Linked DNA regions of Arabidopsis thaliana. The protein of the gene in region 2 purifies or fractionates together with the protein of the main gene of each other region. This does not show direct contact. Each region holds a gene or a part of one and is shown on either strand. Other genes may lie near its edges.

Evidence for each region. Proteins that work in one complex are often made in the same cells at the same time.
Region 1: the proteins of HOG1 (region 2) and LAP1 fractionate together in Arabidopsis thaliana (co-fractionation; one large-scale study listed by BioGRID). This does not show direct contact.
Region 3: the proteins of HOG1 (region 2) and LAP2 fractionate together in Arabidopsis thaliana (co-fractionation; one large-scale study listed by BioGRID). This does not show direct contact.

Annotation. Positions count from the first base shown.
Region 1 is NC_003071.7:10,286,280-10,291,596, forward strand, and holds LAP1 (Cytosol aminopeptidase family protein), read right to left. Parts: upstream 3,407-5,317; 5' UTR 3,172-3,406; coding exon 3,121-3,171; intron 2,996-3,120; coding exon 2,587-2,995; intron 2,492-2,586; coding exon 2,297-2,491; intron 2,201-2,296; coding exon 1,975-2,200; intron 1,872-1,974; coding exon 1,745-1,871; intron 1,668-1,744; coding exon 1,572-1,667; intron 1,488-1,571; coding exon 1,410-1,487; intron 1,319-1,409; coding exon 1,258-1,318; intron 1,159-1,257; coding exon 971-1,158; intron 870-970; coding exon 738-869; 3' UTR 527-737; downstream 1-526. Other genes in the region: AT2G24195 (uncharacterized protein), read left to right, coding at 214-311; AT2G24205 (ECA1 gametogenesis related family protein), read left to right, coding at 5,139-5,317. UniProt on the Arabidopsis thaliana protein: Presumably involved in the processing and regular turnover of intracellular proteins. Catalyzes the removal of unsubstituted N-terminal amino acids from various peptides.
Region 2 is NC_003075.7:8,052,946-8,057,686, forward strand, and holds HOG1 (S-adenosyl-L-homocysteine hydrolase), read left to right. Parts: upstream 1-1,727; 5' UTR 1,728-1,985; coding exon 1,986-2,696; intron 2,697-2,984; coding exon 2,985-3,731; 3' UTR 3,732-3,761; coding exon of another isoform or gene 3,762-3,818; 3' UTR 3,819-4,207; downstream 4,208-4,741. UniProt on the Arabidopsis thaliana protein: Essential protein during embryogenesis.
Region 3 is NC_003075.7:15,045,931-15,051,006, forward strand, and holds LAP2 (Cytosol aminopeptidase family protein), read right to left. Parts: upstream 3,509-5,076; 5' UTR 3,375-3,508; coding exon 3,141-3,374; intron 2,922-3,140; coding exon 2,507-2,921; intron 2,399-2,506; coding exon 2,204-2,398; intron 2,080-2,203; coding exon 1,854-2,079; intron 1,768-1,853; coding exon 1,641-1,767; intron 1,566-1,640; coding exon 1,470-1,565; intron 1,375-1,469; coding exon 1,297-1,374; intron 1,207-1,296; coding exon 1,146-1,206; intron 1,073-1,145; coding exon 885-1,072; intron 791-884; coding exon 659-790; 3' UTR 527-658; downstream 1-526. Other genes in the region: NFD1 (Ribosomal protein L21), read right to left, coding at 4,240-4,359, 4,477-4,551, 4,844-4,945. UniProt on the Arabidopsis thaliana protein: Presumably involved in the processing and regular turnover of intracellular proteins. Catalyzes the removal of unsubstituted N-terminal amino acids from various peptides.

The DNA of each region.
Region 1 (5,317 bases), on a different chromosome or scaffold from region 2:
CAGTTTGAATTTACGATTTGCTCATTATATATGAAAACTAAAACTGAATCATTGTAATAATATCTCTTCATTTTTGGCTTTTGTAATAATTATTCCGGTATGGACATACAGTTCTTTTTCAATTTGGATTGGTTCCTCTAGATACGTAAGCAATAAACTGGCATAACAGAAATGATTTGTTAATTGTTGCTTCTTTTTTTTCTGTTTTGAAAGAAATAGGAAACAGGGTTTGGGATCAAAAGATCTTCAACAATGTGAAGGTTCGTGTACTTCCCAGTGCTTCAAGGCGTGGACCTGGGCAAACCGGTTAGAAAATCAGTACTAAGGAACAAAAGGAGTATTAAGTAGAATAGTTACTTCAAAATATTATCAAAAAAATATTTTATTTTATGATAGATAAAAGTCATGTTTTGTAACCACTCATATGCTGTTTTTTTTTCAAAAGATGTTCAATTATTGCATTTGACATTATGGTTCATAAAATTTGAAGTGGTTACCGAAAAAAGTAATGAAAAGGAGAACCCAATGTTGAAGACTTCAAAAGTAGAAATTTCAGACAGTATTTTTGCACGACTAAAACAAAGTACCACTTTATTCAACTTTTGACGATTTTACTTTTCATAACAAGTTAAGAACATCTGAAAACATAGTAACTTTTGAGACCTTATTAAAAACCAGCAATCATTTCAACACCCGAAAAACTCTACAGTCTCTCCCTCACGCTCTCTAGGTTTCATTCACGAAGATGAATTCTTCTGTACCCATTCAACAAGCGTAGCAACACCAAACCCGGTCCCAGACTTCTTCTTCTCGTTCCACACCGGTCCAGCCATGTCGATATGCATCCATTGCACCTTCTCACTCACAAACTGCCATACCACAGAAAATAGAGGATGGTTTAGTTACTTTCACCGACGAATTTTTTGTCAAAAACATGTATGTATAGCCTCTAAAGGGACTTTGTTTTCACCTGTTTCAAGAAGAGAGCCGCGGTGATGGATCCTCCTGCCCGCCCGCCTGTGTTGACCATATCAGCCACTCCAGACTTCATCATCTCCCAATAGCTCTCTTCCAGTGGCATCCTCCACAGCTTCTCTCCACTCCTTTCTGATGCAGCAATCACTTCCTTTGCAAGCTCGTCGCTAGGTGTATAGATTCCTATCAAGTAATGAACACAGAATGATCATCATGAGCCAATTTTGGACTCAAAAACGACACAAAGATTGAGTTTTTCTGCAGGGTTTTTGAGCTGTGTACCTGCCATTGAAGTTCCAAGAGCAATAACACAGGCCCCGGTCAAAGTAGCGAGGTCAACAATCTGCAAGATATTTGACAATGTTTAACTGAAAGGATAAATTTAACAGAAACAAGCTCCTTTAGCTTCTCATATCAATAAAGTAATGCAATACCTTGTCGACGCCTTGGTTACAAGCATACACTAGAGCATCTGCGAGTGTTAGACGACCTTCAGCATCTGTGTTGTTGACCTACACACACCATCGCCAACAATTAGCATTTCATAGGAAAAACAGTAAAAGCTCAACTCTGAGGGGGAAAAAATCATCAGATACCTCAATGGTCTTTCCGTTTGAGGCAGTGATGACATCTCCAGGTCTCATTCCGGTTCCACTAATCATATTTTCACAGGCTGCAACGATGAAATGAACCTGGTTGTGGAAGACGAATCTGTTCAGTTCGGTTAACAAACTATAGCTTTCAAAAGAATCTGATGGGAGAAACTAACCTCAACACCAGGAGGCTTAATCTCACCAATAGCTTTCGCAGCGCCAAGAACAGCAGCTGAACCGCCCATGTCGAATTTCATGAGCTCAATTGAGCAGCCAGGTCCAGTCTTAATGTTGTAGCCACCACTGTGTACACAAGATATTCAAATCAACAACCACTAAAATAACAAAGAAAAGATACCAGCTCGTAACAGAGTAAAATTCAAAGCAATACAGAATGATTAGTTACCTGTCAAAGGTCAATCCTTTTCCAACAAGAGCAAGTTTGGTCTTAACAGAGCCATTCGGAGGTTTATAGACAAGGTGGATGAAGTGAGGAGGATTAGCCGACGCAGCAGCAACAGCTAGGTAAGAACCCATCTTCAACTCTTTGCATTGCTCTTCGTTCAAGATGTTTGCAGTGAAGACATCACTGTACGTAGAAGCCACCTTTGCTGCTTCCTCAGCTAGTACAGCTGAAACGATACAAAAATCAAAGCAGTTTAGGAAAACTCAGCGAACACCACACAAACACGAAAATATTTGATTTCATAAATGACAACAATTCATACCAGGAGTAAGCACATTGGCAGGAGAATTAATGAGCTCTCTCCCGAAAATTACACCGTAAGAAACATCTTCAGCATACTTCAGCTTCTTTTCTACCTCAGCCCCAGTTCCAAATCCAATAATATCAACAGCTTTCAAAGATGGTTTCTTTGATTCAGACTTATACCTACCATCTTCAAATAAACCAAGTACTATGCCTATCCAAAAATAAACAATGAGACCCCAAATCAGTTCCAATTTCCAAAACAGTACTAAACAAGACTCGAACTTGTGTTATACTAATTGAAGTTACCTGAAGCTAAAGCTGATACAGAACTAAGCTTAGATTCATCAGAAACACTTGAAGCAAGCACAATAGCAGCACTAGTAGATTGAGAAGCTTTTGAAACTGTAGCTACAGCTTCACCAAGGCTATGAAAAGCCACCGGAGACGAAACAGACTGTCCAAGACCGATCAAAGCGATTCTCTTTGATCCTAAACCCGGAAGCCTGAGAACAGTCGATTGACCAGGTTTCCCAGTGAAATCTTCCTCGGAAGAGACTTGAGCTAAAAGTCCACTTAAGTGAGCATCGACCTTGCTCAAGATCGGATTCTCAAACTTTGAGTTACCGTCTTTGGCTAAGTCCTTCTCTGTCACACCAACTACGAGTATGTCTCCTTTCCATTCAATTACATCGATCTCCTTCGCAGTGAACGAGATCTGCATAATCGTCACCAAAAGATCAAAACTTCAAACTCGAATCAATCAAAAAATCAAAACTTTGAACTAAATCAAAACTGGATTCCATACAAAATCATTTCAAAATCACAGTGAAGGAAACAAACCTTGTGAGGCTCAGTGGAGTTGGGTTGAGTGAGACCGAGAGTGTGAGCCATGGTTATTGCTATTGAAGAGAGGTGTTGTGTGATTGAACTCTGAAAAGGAAGACGAAAGAGTAAACAATGAAAAGTTAGGATTGGTCTTTCAAAGGCGTATATATAGAAGGAGAAGTTAGGTGTGATTTACACATGTGTGATGTGTGTTAGTGAGTAGCTCAATTAGGCTTGAACATTCGGACTTCGGATTGGATTTTATTACGATAATTCGGGTTTTGGATTTGTAGGGTAAAATAGGGTTTTGGATTTTTTAGACATTCGGACTTTGAATCGGATTTTATTAGGGTAATTCGGGTTTTGGATTTGTAGGGTAAGACATGGTTTTGGATTTTTTAGATAGGGAGATTTCGGAAGGTACTGAATATGTTTCGATCGGTTCGTTTTGGATTTATACGGGTTCGGAATGGTTCTCGAAAAAAAAAAAATGCGACCATAGAATCGAAATATGTTCTGATTCGATTTTTGAATCGAAAAACTCCAAAAACCTAAACGATGTATATAGAAAAACGCTCCAAATGATCCTTAAAATCCAAAAATATGTGTATATATTGTTTTGTGTTTTTTGGGTTTACGTTTGGATTTTATTTTTTGGTATAATGGTTGGGTTGTAGGTGTTTTTGAGTATCCGTTTGGGTTTCAATTTTTTTTTAATGTTCGGATTTCAGATTTTACCAGTATATAACCGAAAATCGAAACATATAATTTAAGATCTGTTAGGATAATAACAACTTTTTGATTTGGAAATTTTTTTGGGCGAATTTCTTAAGAGAAGGTCGAAATAATAAAAGACAAAATTATAGTAGAAGTTGTTATTTTCAGCAACCTTATCAAACATATCTCTATGAGATATGCAAAAGTTTTAGCTTCAGTCGTGTTGAAGTGTTCTAGGTGGAATGGTTTAAATGGGTGAAAGGGCATCGATCATGCTATCGAGCTAGTCACTTCTGACTCTGATTTTGGGCACTGTTTCGTCGATCGTTGGTCATTTTGTGCCGCCTTTGATATCTGATCAAGTATCCACAAATCCGTCCACACCAATATTTTGAAGGTAAACCCCATTTCCTAATATCAAAAATACTATTCGCCGTCCGGAACATTGACAAGTACACGGCGTACCAGTCAAACATGGAGCCTAATCAATTCAACTATTTTTTCTATTTTGTTTTGTCGACAATGGTCTAATTGATACATGAGAAATTAGGCTGTATGACCATAAAAATTTAATAATTCAATAACTAACTTAAAAAAAGTTGACTACATGATTATGTGTATAACATGTAATATATACTAATCTACCCATTTGTTCACATGTCATATGTATCTTTTGATTCTTTTTCTGAATTTTGTCTTCTTTTTTTCTTTTGTATTTTGAAGTATGATCATTTTTAATTGTGTTTATGTTAAAATTTTAATAATATTATTGTTACTAATAAAATTTCACATTATGACTTTTACTATTTTAAAATCATTTTTTATTTTATTAGTTTTTTGTTAATAATTAATATTAATAGAAATAAATATTTATTAAATGAACATTGTAATTATAATTTAGTGTTAAAAAAAAAAAATGGTGACATGGCTTTGTTTGATTGGATGTTTACCATGATGATATGTACACATTAAGAGAACAGAAAACTCTTCCATAATATATATTAGTTAATAACACTAAGAATGGTGAGAGTGATATTAACATGGACATGGTTCCATTTTCATAATGCGTTTTTTGAAAGACAATCGTTACATTTTCAACTCTTTTTCAATGTTGGAAACCGCAAATTAATTACCAAATAGGCAAATAAATACTCGAACGAGTTTCATTAAAGATAATTAAAGCCAGTTCTTCATTTCTTTCATATAAATCAGACAATAATCCCATGTTATTTTCATCACCCAGTTACAAACTTGAAAAAGAATCACACATCAGAATATTTTAATTTTTCTTTTGTTTTGCCATAAGAATATATATCATGACGATAAAGAATGTACTTTTTGTTCTAGTAACCATTTGTGTAGCAGTTTCTGTAAATGCTCAACTACAGCAATATCCGATTATTTTCTCAAACCCGCTTCCATTTCTGCGCTCGACTGGTATACTAAACCTACCAGACGTAAAAAAATGTTTCTCGTCCGTGAGGAATGTTCCAGG
Region 2 (4,741 bases):
TTGACTTGGTGCTGGCCATTTGTAAGAATAGCATAAGCCACCAGTCACCAAGATTATTCATCGTAAATTGTAACAAACTCACCATTATTTGGAGAGCCCAAAGATACTACTCAATCTTCTTACCATAAACTTTTGTCACTGTCTTATAAGCTATAAGATTACTGGTCTACTTAACTCAGAAATATTTATGTCCTTTGTAGCCAAAAGCTACACTGAAATTGACACAACTCGAGTGTTGTCCTTTTCTGGTCGATTGAATAGAATCGAATGTCTTAATCCAGTACCCTCCAGCTTTTATTTCGTGTAATTTATTTTCCAAACCTACCACTACCAGTTTCATAACTCTCGAATAAATTTATCAAATAGTCTTTTGAGTGCTCAAAGTCTTGGGATAATAAATGGTCAGTGCTATGTATCACCCGGATGTGAAACATTATGGGTGGAGATAGACTATTATAAATTTATTGAAATATACGATTGTTACTCGTTTAATAGCAAAAGTAGTACAATGTATATAGTTTCTATCGAGAACAAGATCTATTTAAAATTCGAAAAGTACATTTAAAATTCATAAACATATAAAGATAGTAACATGTTAGATCTGCATAGTACCACCAAAACAAGAAAAAAGAAACGCACATCGCCACATAATTGCTATGATTCTCACTGTCGGCTGCTTTGAAATATTACGATTCTTTTGGTAAATCACACAACATAATATAATTACAATAAATATATATATACTAAAGTATAATTAATATAATTAATACCACATTGTTTAATTCTGTTTTGATCTTTTAAGATCAGTCAGATCCACCGACGTTCCTACACGCGCAGGTCCAGATCCAAACAGCACACACACACACACAATGCCACTAGTGTAAATGCTTGGTGGCTATTGCATTTGCACCTATTGATACTCTTTCTTCAAAAACAAGTTATTGTTTTTATTTTCAACCCAACTTTAATACGGATTCATACTGGGATTTAGGTGTTAAATCTGATAATTTAGGTTTGAATAAGTTGTATATTTGTTTCTTTGATTAAAAAAAGAACCTATATATATACAAAAATAAATAAAAAGTTCTAGATTTCAATTTTCCGTATATAGCGGGTTGAATTGTCTATTTTAATATGAAAATTGACGGATCTTATAAACAAAATGTTCTGAAATATGTAAAAGGATTTAGCCAAAGTTAACCAAAAAAAAAAAACAAACAGAAAAGTCACATTCACATGTCGTGGTAGATCTAAGGCATTAATTTAGAAATATGTCGTTACAATAAGCGGAGAACATGGGACGTTTCTCGTGGTCCAATCAGACGAACGAGATCTCATAAATTAAATGACTTCAGACGAGGGAATTCATGGCAGAATGATAATGCAACTTAAGTGACTTTAGAGTGAAAATGATACGAGAACAATGCATAATCCATATGACCGTTGAGTGAGTGATACCATTAGCGCGATACAAGCGGGACTATAAACTGATCTAGATTGTTTTTCTTGGGAAAAAATGTTACAAATTTTAAATATGTAGTTTGAATTGTTAAACCAAGATTCAACAGAAATATACCGTAAATAAACAACAGTTGATAATAGTCATCGAAAAGATATCAACTGATTCTTCACTTGGGCTACTGTGACGGCCCGTTAGGGTTCTCAATATAAGTCAATAACTACGATCTACGATTCACTGAAACAAATAAAACACAGCCACGTGTCCACCCTCCCACATCACCGTCCGATCTAACCCACGACAAGCTTACAACACGGGTCATACCGCTCGTGCAGCGTGTTCCGTCATCCACGGGATTACAACTTCTACCAGATCCACCAAACCCTCAAAACAATCTGAACCGTTCATTTCATTTTGACCTCATCTATATATTCTCTGTCACTCCCTTTCTCTTCTCCTCGCACACACTTCTCTCTCTCTCTCTCTCTGCCTCCTTTCGGATTCAAATCTCAGATCTAGCTCAACCATGGCGTTGCTCGTCGAGAAGACCTCAAGTGGCCGTGAATACAAGGTCAAAGACATGTCTCAAGCCGATTTCGGTCGTCTCGAACTCGAGCTCGCCGAAGTTGAGATGCCTGGACTCATGGCTTGTCGTACCGAATTCGGACCTTCTCAGCCATTCAAAGGCGCTAGAATCACCGGATCTCTTCACATGACCATCCAAACCGCCGTACTCATCGAAACCCTAACTGCTCTCGGTGCTGAAGTCAGATGGTGTTCCTGCAACATCTTTTCCACTCAAGACCACGCCGCCGCAGCCATCGCTCGTGACTCCGCCGCTGTTTTCGCCTGGAAAGGTGAGACTCTTCAGGAGTACTGGTGGTGTACCGAGCGTGCTCTAGATTGGGGTCCAGGTGGTGGTCCTGATCTGATTGTTGATGATGGTGGTGACGCTACTCTTTTGATTCATGAGGGTGTTAAAGCTGAGGAGATCTTTGAGAAGACTGGTCAAGTTCCTGATCCTACTTCTACTGATAACCCTGAGTTTCAGATCGTGTTGTCTATTATCAAGGAAGGTCTTCAAGTTGATCCTAAGAAGTACCACAAGATGAAGGAGAGACTTGTTGGTGTCTCTGAGGAAACTACCACTGGTGTTAAGAGGCTTTACCAGATGCAGCAAAATGGAACTCTTTTGTTCCCTGCCATTAACGTTAACGACTCTGTCACCAAGAGCAAGGTATTGATCTTCAGATTTGTTTCTTTACTAGTGATGATAAATCTGCTAGGTCTTTAGCTCTGTAGTTTTTGATGCGATAGGCTTAACAACAACATAATCACTAAGTAGAAGCAAGCTTTTCATTGTTGGTTGTTGAAAGTATTACGATCTAGTAGAGAAAAGTCCTTCCTTGGTTACAGAATTTGCATGAAAAGTCAATATTTCTCATGCTTTCTTTGATTTTATATTCAACGTTTTGTTTACACTTATGTGCTGTTACTGATAAATTCATTTGTTCTTGATTTACAGTTCGACAACTTGTATGGTTGCCGTCACTCACTCCCTGATGGTCTCATGAGGGCCACTGATGTCATGATCGCTGGAAAGGTTGCTGTTATCTGTGGATATGGTGATGTTGGAAAGGGTTGTGCTGCTGCCATGAAGACTGCTGGTGCTAGAGTCATTGTGACTGAGATTGATCCCATCTGTGCCCTTCAAGCTTTGATGGAAGGACTTCAGGTTCTTACCCTTGAGGATGTTGTCTCAGAAGCTGATATCTTTGTCACCACCACCGGTAACAAAGACATCATCATGGTCGACCACATGAGGAAGATGAAGAACAACGCTATTGTGTGCAACATTGGTCACTTTGACAATGAGATTGACATGCTTGGACTTGAGACTTACCCTGGTGTGAAGCGTATCACCATCAAGCCACAGACTGACAGGTGGGTGTTCCCAGAGACCAAGGCTGGAATCATTGTCTTGGCTGAGGGTCGTCTGATGAACTTGGGTTGTGCCACTGGTCACCCAAGTTTCGTGATGTCTTGCTCTTTCACCAACCAGGTGATTGCCCAGCTCGAGCTCTGGAACGAGAAAGCAAGCGGAAAGTACGAGAAGAAGGTGTACGTTCTTCCCAAGCATTTGGATGAGAAGGTTGCATTACTTCACTTGGGCAAGCTTGGAGCCAGGCTTACAAAGCTGTCAAAGGACCAATCTGACTACGTCAGCATTCCAATTGAGGGACCATACAAGCCTCCTCACTACAGGTACTGAGAGAGAGAGAGAGTCGACAAAGCGGTTCAGGTTCGGATCTACTTGTGGTTTTGTGTTGGGTTGTGGTGGGAGAGTGGAACAGTTTGAGATATTGGTCTTCTGATGAAGTTGACCAAATATCAGTATTAATAAGGGTTATTGGCTTTTGAAGGTTGTGCTTGTTTTCTCCATTTTTCATGAAACTTAAATTAGTTTTTGGTTTAGTTTCCCTCTTGATTTTATTTTGTGTGTTCTGTTTAGCGTTGTACTCTTCAAACAAATGAGAAACCAAAAAAAAAGGGGAAACTTGTTTTCGGCATCCCAGTGTTAGCGACTTTTGTTGAATGAATGTCTCAAATGCTCATCTTTAATAATGTGTGTTAGGACACGAACAACACATGGTTCGATTCGTGGGGGATTTTATGGTTGTAGTTATTATCGTACACGTTTCAAAGTTCTCTTAAGTATTCAAAAAGGCTTTTCCAATATAAATTTTTGATAGCATTTAGCTATAAGATTCGTTTTCATTTTCTTCAATTCTATGTCATCACTGATAAAATCTGCTTTGAAAATTTCAAAATTTATTACTTTTGCAAGAAGAATGTGAACGTTCCTACAAAGAGAGGGGTAGAAAATAAAAACTGGACTCGAAGTAGGAACCCAAACCCGACTGAAAATACTCAAGAGTCCAAGCCCGTTCTAGATAAATACCAAAATGGGTCTTAAGGCTTGGTATTCGGGTACATGATAATATCTGATCCGAACTGAAACATGAACTGTTTACCCGAAACCAGTGGCGGAACTACGTAGGGGGCAGGTTAAAATTCAAAGTGGTGAACGAGTACGGCCTCGAGAGTTTATGGAGTAAGATTCGAATTAGCGTTTCCTACGAAACGCATGAAACCAGTACGTTCGACCAAGAATGATGAGGAGGTTCTTCTGGTTCTCGATGCAAACTTGGGCTTGTACAACTTTGAGTGTAGTACTTGAGAGGAATTAATCTAGAAATCCACGGTGTTGAATTCGACAAA
Region 3 (5,076 bases), 7.0 Mb from region 2:
ATTGTCATTGGTTTCGGTTCTGGTCTTAACTAAATTAAGAGTCATTGGTTTAGACTGGTTAAGATCCGGTTCAATAATCAACAACAAACACGGGAGATAAGGTTCGCCGTTACCTTTCTCGGCGATTACTCTCGGTGGATCTGCTCGGGGCTCGATGAGGCGGTTTAAGCTCACGGCAGTAAGGTCTCATAGCTCAACAATCAAAACCAAAACAAAGCACAGATCATAAGAGAAAGCCAAAAACTTCCTGAGCAAGTTACATAATAGATCTAGGGTTTCCTTACCCTTAACGGCCTTGGCGATGGACTACGACTACTCCGGTGACAGCGGTTGACATCCTGTGACTCGTGGTGTCACTCTCCGGTGACACACGGTGGCTGTAGTGGTGATGAACGGCGACTATCTCTCCTTCTCAACAACTCACGGACCCATTCAAATACAACAACATGACGGGACACAGCAACAACGGTGGCTCAACTGTGTCTCTCACGGTGGTTGTTGAATTTAAGTTTAGACTAGGTAAGCATACAACAACAAAACTAATCTTCTGATTGATTTAACTTGTCATACTTAGTTGCACAAAAAAAAAAAACTTGTCCCACCACACAAAGCAAAAACACAACTAGTTCACATCAGTCAGAGATCACCAGACTTCATCTTAAGAAGAAGAATGGTTCTGTACCCACTCAACTAGTGTCGCAACTCCAAACCCAGTTGCAGCTTTCTTCTTCTCGTTCCACACTGGTCCAGCCATATCTATGTGCATCCACTCAACATCCTCGCTCACAAACTGCAACCATTAACCAAACCCGGTTCTTCGTTAGAGAACAATAGCGTCAGTATTGAAATGTGTTCTTTTGTTTCCACTCTTATGATATACTCACCTGTTTCAAGAAAAGAGCCGCGGTAATGGATCCACCTGCACGGCCTCCAGTGTTAACCATATCTGCAACACCTGACTTCATCATCTCCCAGTAACTCTCTTCCATAGGCATTCTCCATAACTTCTCTCCACTCCTCTCTGATGCAGCAATCACCTCCTTTGCAAGCTTATCACTAGGTGTATATATGCCTGCAGAAAAACCAATAGTCAACCATCACGAAAGAATTTTATTCTGTCTTATTTAAAACACAAGACTATGTACCTGCCATTGATGTTCCAAGAGCAATAATACAAGCCCCAGTCAATGTTGCAAGGTCAACAACCTGCAAATATTGTAATTCACAAGTTGAGACTTGAGAGAAAAACCAACAGAAAGAATGTATTAATAAGTCGAAGAATCTTTGAAACAATACCTTATCGACACCCTGGTTGCAAGCATAAACTAAAGCATCTGCAAGTGTTAGTCGACCTTCAGCATCGGTGTTGTTGACCTGCAATACCACCCACAATTAGTTTGGCGTAAAACTAACAATGGAAAGCTCGAACCTTTTGAAGCTGAATTCATATGGAAACGGTGTTATGATACCTCAATCGTCTTTCCGTTTGAGGCTGTGAGGACATCTCCAGGTCTCATTCCAGTACCACTTATCATATTCTCACAAGCTGCGACAATAAAGTGCACCTGATTGTGCAACGAAGCATTTGTTTAGGTACATTCATTTAACTCAGAAACGCAAGCTCCGTGTGATAAACTTACCTCAACACCTGGAGGCTTAATTTGACCAATGGCTTTTGCAGCGCCAAGAACAGCAGCTGAACCTCCCATATCGAATTTCATGAGCTCAATTAAGCAGCCAGGCCCGGTTTTAATGTTGTAGCCACCGCTGTGAACAAAAACCATCTGGTCAATAACTAATAAGTATTAAATAAAGAGATTGATGCGGCAAACAGAAGCCAACAGCTCTAGTACCTGTCAAATGTCAATCCTTTTCCAACAAGAGCAAGTTTTGTTTTAACAGGGCCACTAGAAGGTTTGTAGATAAGATGTATGAAATGAGGTGGATTAGCTGAAGCAGCAGCTACAGCAAGATATGAACCCATCTTCAACTCTTTGCATTGCTCCTCGTTCAAGATGTTGGCAGTCATGACATCACTGTACATGGAAGCCAGATTCAAGGCTTCCTCAGCTAGTACGGCTGTAAGATACAAAGCAGATTAGAGAAAAATGTTTGAAATAAACTTCAACAGACATGATGCTCACATTATTAAAAAAAAAAAAAATGAAAAGTCTAAGACTGATGCTCAAGAAACAATCCTCACCAGGAGTGAGAACATTGGCTGGAGAATTAACGAGTTCTTTCCCGAAAATAACGCCATAAGAAACATGTTCAGCATACTTAAGCTTCTTCTCTAGTTCAGGTCCAGAGCCAAAGCCAATGATATCTACAGATTTGAGTGATGGTTTCTTCGACTCAGACTTATACCGGCTGTCTTCAAACAAACCAAGCACTGTGCCTGTAAAAATAAACAACAATTCCACATAACGATCAGTTCCAAAATGGTAATGAAACAACCATTCTCGAGCTTTAATAGACGAAACCACAACAACAACAAATAAAACACCTGAAGCTATAGCTGACGCAGAACAGAGCTTAGATTCATTAGAAACACTCTCAGAGGAGGCGAGAACAACTGCAACACTGCTAGCTTGAGAAGCTTTAGCAGCTGCAGCAACAGCCTCACCGAGACTCTGAAAAGCCGAAGGAGTTGAAGCAGATTTTCCAAGACCAATCAAACCAACTCGCTTAGACCCAAGACCCGGAAGCCTAAGAACTGTCGACTGACCAGGTTTCCCAGAAAAATCTTCCTCAGACGAGACATCAGCTAAAAGTCCACCCAAGTGAGCATCAAGCTTCTTCAGAATCGGGTTTTCGAACTTGGAGTTCACATCCTTAGCCATGTCTTTCTCCGTCACTCCAACAGCGAGTATATCACCTTTCCATTCCGTCACGTCGATCTCCTTCCCCGAAAATGAGATCTGATACAGCAAATTCGACTAATCAGAATCCAATTAACCACAAAAATTCAAACTCGAAAGCTAATCTCTGACAAGACTTGACCATAATCGAAGTCAGCAAATCAGTGGATCATCTTAATCGGAAACAGTAAAGCGACGAATCTACAAAGCATTCACTAGTATCGAGTTTAAACACATAACAGCAAAATCGAATAATGCTGCAAGCGATCAGGAACAAACCTTAGGATGATCGACGGAGTTAGCCTGAGTGAGGCCGAGAGTAGCGTGTGAGATTGTATGAGCCATGGCTCTAGAAGAAGAGTAGAGAGGCGTGACGGCAAAAGCGAGTCTAAGGCGAGAGGGGAACTGGAATCGGACGAAACAAGAGGAGAGAGACGACGGAGAAGAGGAGAATGAGCGGAAATGGAAGCGAGAAGACGAAGAAGCGAAGGACGTTACCAAAGTGACGGCCATTTGAGTAACGCACTGAGCTTCTCTTATTTATAAGGAGAAGAAAAGCCGCGTTTGTGCTTATCTCTCTCTCTCTCTTGTTGACGATGATTCTTCTTTTACTTGACTCATTGTTTGCTTTTATCCAACCCGTCCCCACCCGACCCGATCTTAACCATGGACTTACGTACTCGTGTAGCTTTATAATTCTCTTTGGCTCCAAATTGCTTTTGTTTAAGTTCTTTATACATATTTATACAAACAATGGTTTTGATACTATTTACAAACATTCAAATATTTCAAGGCATTCTTACACGATTTTCCGATGTTGATAAAAGAAATTATAAATCAGTTCCAAGTACTATCAATTCTGTGAATCATTTGTTGATGAGGAAGTGGTTGCCATATATAGTTACAATAATAATCACCTGATCTAAAGAGTCATAGTGGAAAAAATCGAGATTTTGAGTGTAATGTGACTTGCAGTTATTACCAATTTACCACCAGTTTCATATCTGTGACCGAGACTTGCATGAAGAAGTAAATTAAACCATAACCAAACCACAGTAGTACAGTACAAAGTACAAAGCATAGAGAAGATAAGGAGAGAGATGTTTCCGCAAATCTTTATTTCTGAAACAGAAGCAACAAACAGCTCCCACAAGCATGAGCCAGTTTAAATACAAAATGAAGAGCAAGGAGAACAAGACAGTGAAAGGCAAATCACATTTCATATCTCAGGAGCCTAGTTACTTACCACTAACTACCAAGAAGGCCTTTTCATCATTTCAACGACTTTAAAATCTAGTTCTTAGTGAACAGCAAGTGATAATTTAACTTACTTCAAATGTATCGGCATCAGCAAAAAAGAAAGAAGCAAATTTTATCTCTAAGCAACTAGCTCAGCCTTCGTCTGTTCTGTAACAGCTTCTTTCGAAGGCTTATGGACGATCTTCGGTTCTGGTTTTTCAATTCCTTGTATATCGGTTATTCTCAACTTCGTCAATTCCTGGACACAAGTGTTGAATGGTCAAAAACAACAATCATAACACAGTGGAAAGAACTAGAAGAAGGCAAAGATGAAATAAACACACTGTCTATCTAAACAAGGAGTTATAAAGTATACCTGTCGATGTCCTCTCGTTCTCCTATAATTCTTTCTTCGTTTCTTTTTGAAAATGAGCACTTTTTCATCCAAAGCCTGTCACGCATCAAGGAAAAACTAGTTGAGTAATGCTGGTACATGAGTAGATCCTTCTACATTCCAAGCCCATCTTAAATCAAGACATTCAGATGATGTAGAGATAGATGAACACTAATCTAATGACTTGCAAGACTTTCACAAACTAATCAGCAGACAGTTTGATTTAGTTTCTCTCAGTCACCGGATTCAGCAAGCAAACTCTCATCTATCCTCTTTTCAATTGTAAATTATTCTTAAGCACAGCTTCACTAGTATTATAAAACACCAAGCAAGTCAATGAGACACTTACATGCTCTTCAACTACAGCATGAACTGTCGCATCTGGCAAAATAGGCCTACCAATAATCGTCTGGCTTGCCGAGCCCAATAGAAGAACCTTGGTTAGTTCCAACTGCAAAGGGACATAAAGAGAAAGGTTTTAGCAACAATCATAAATCATAAACACAAATGCAAAGGTTCGTCCTTCTTACGAGAGATACGGTAAAGTCTAGCCCTTTGAGAGAAGAATAGCAAAGATTAACG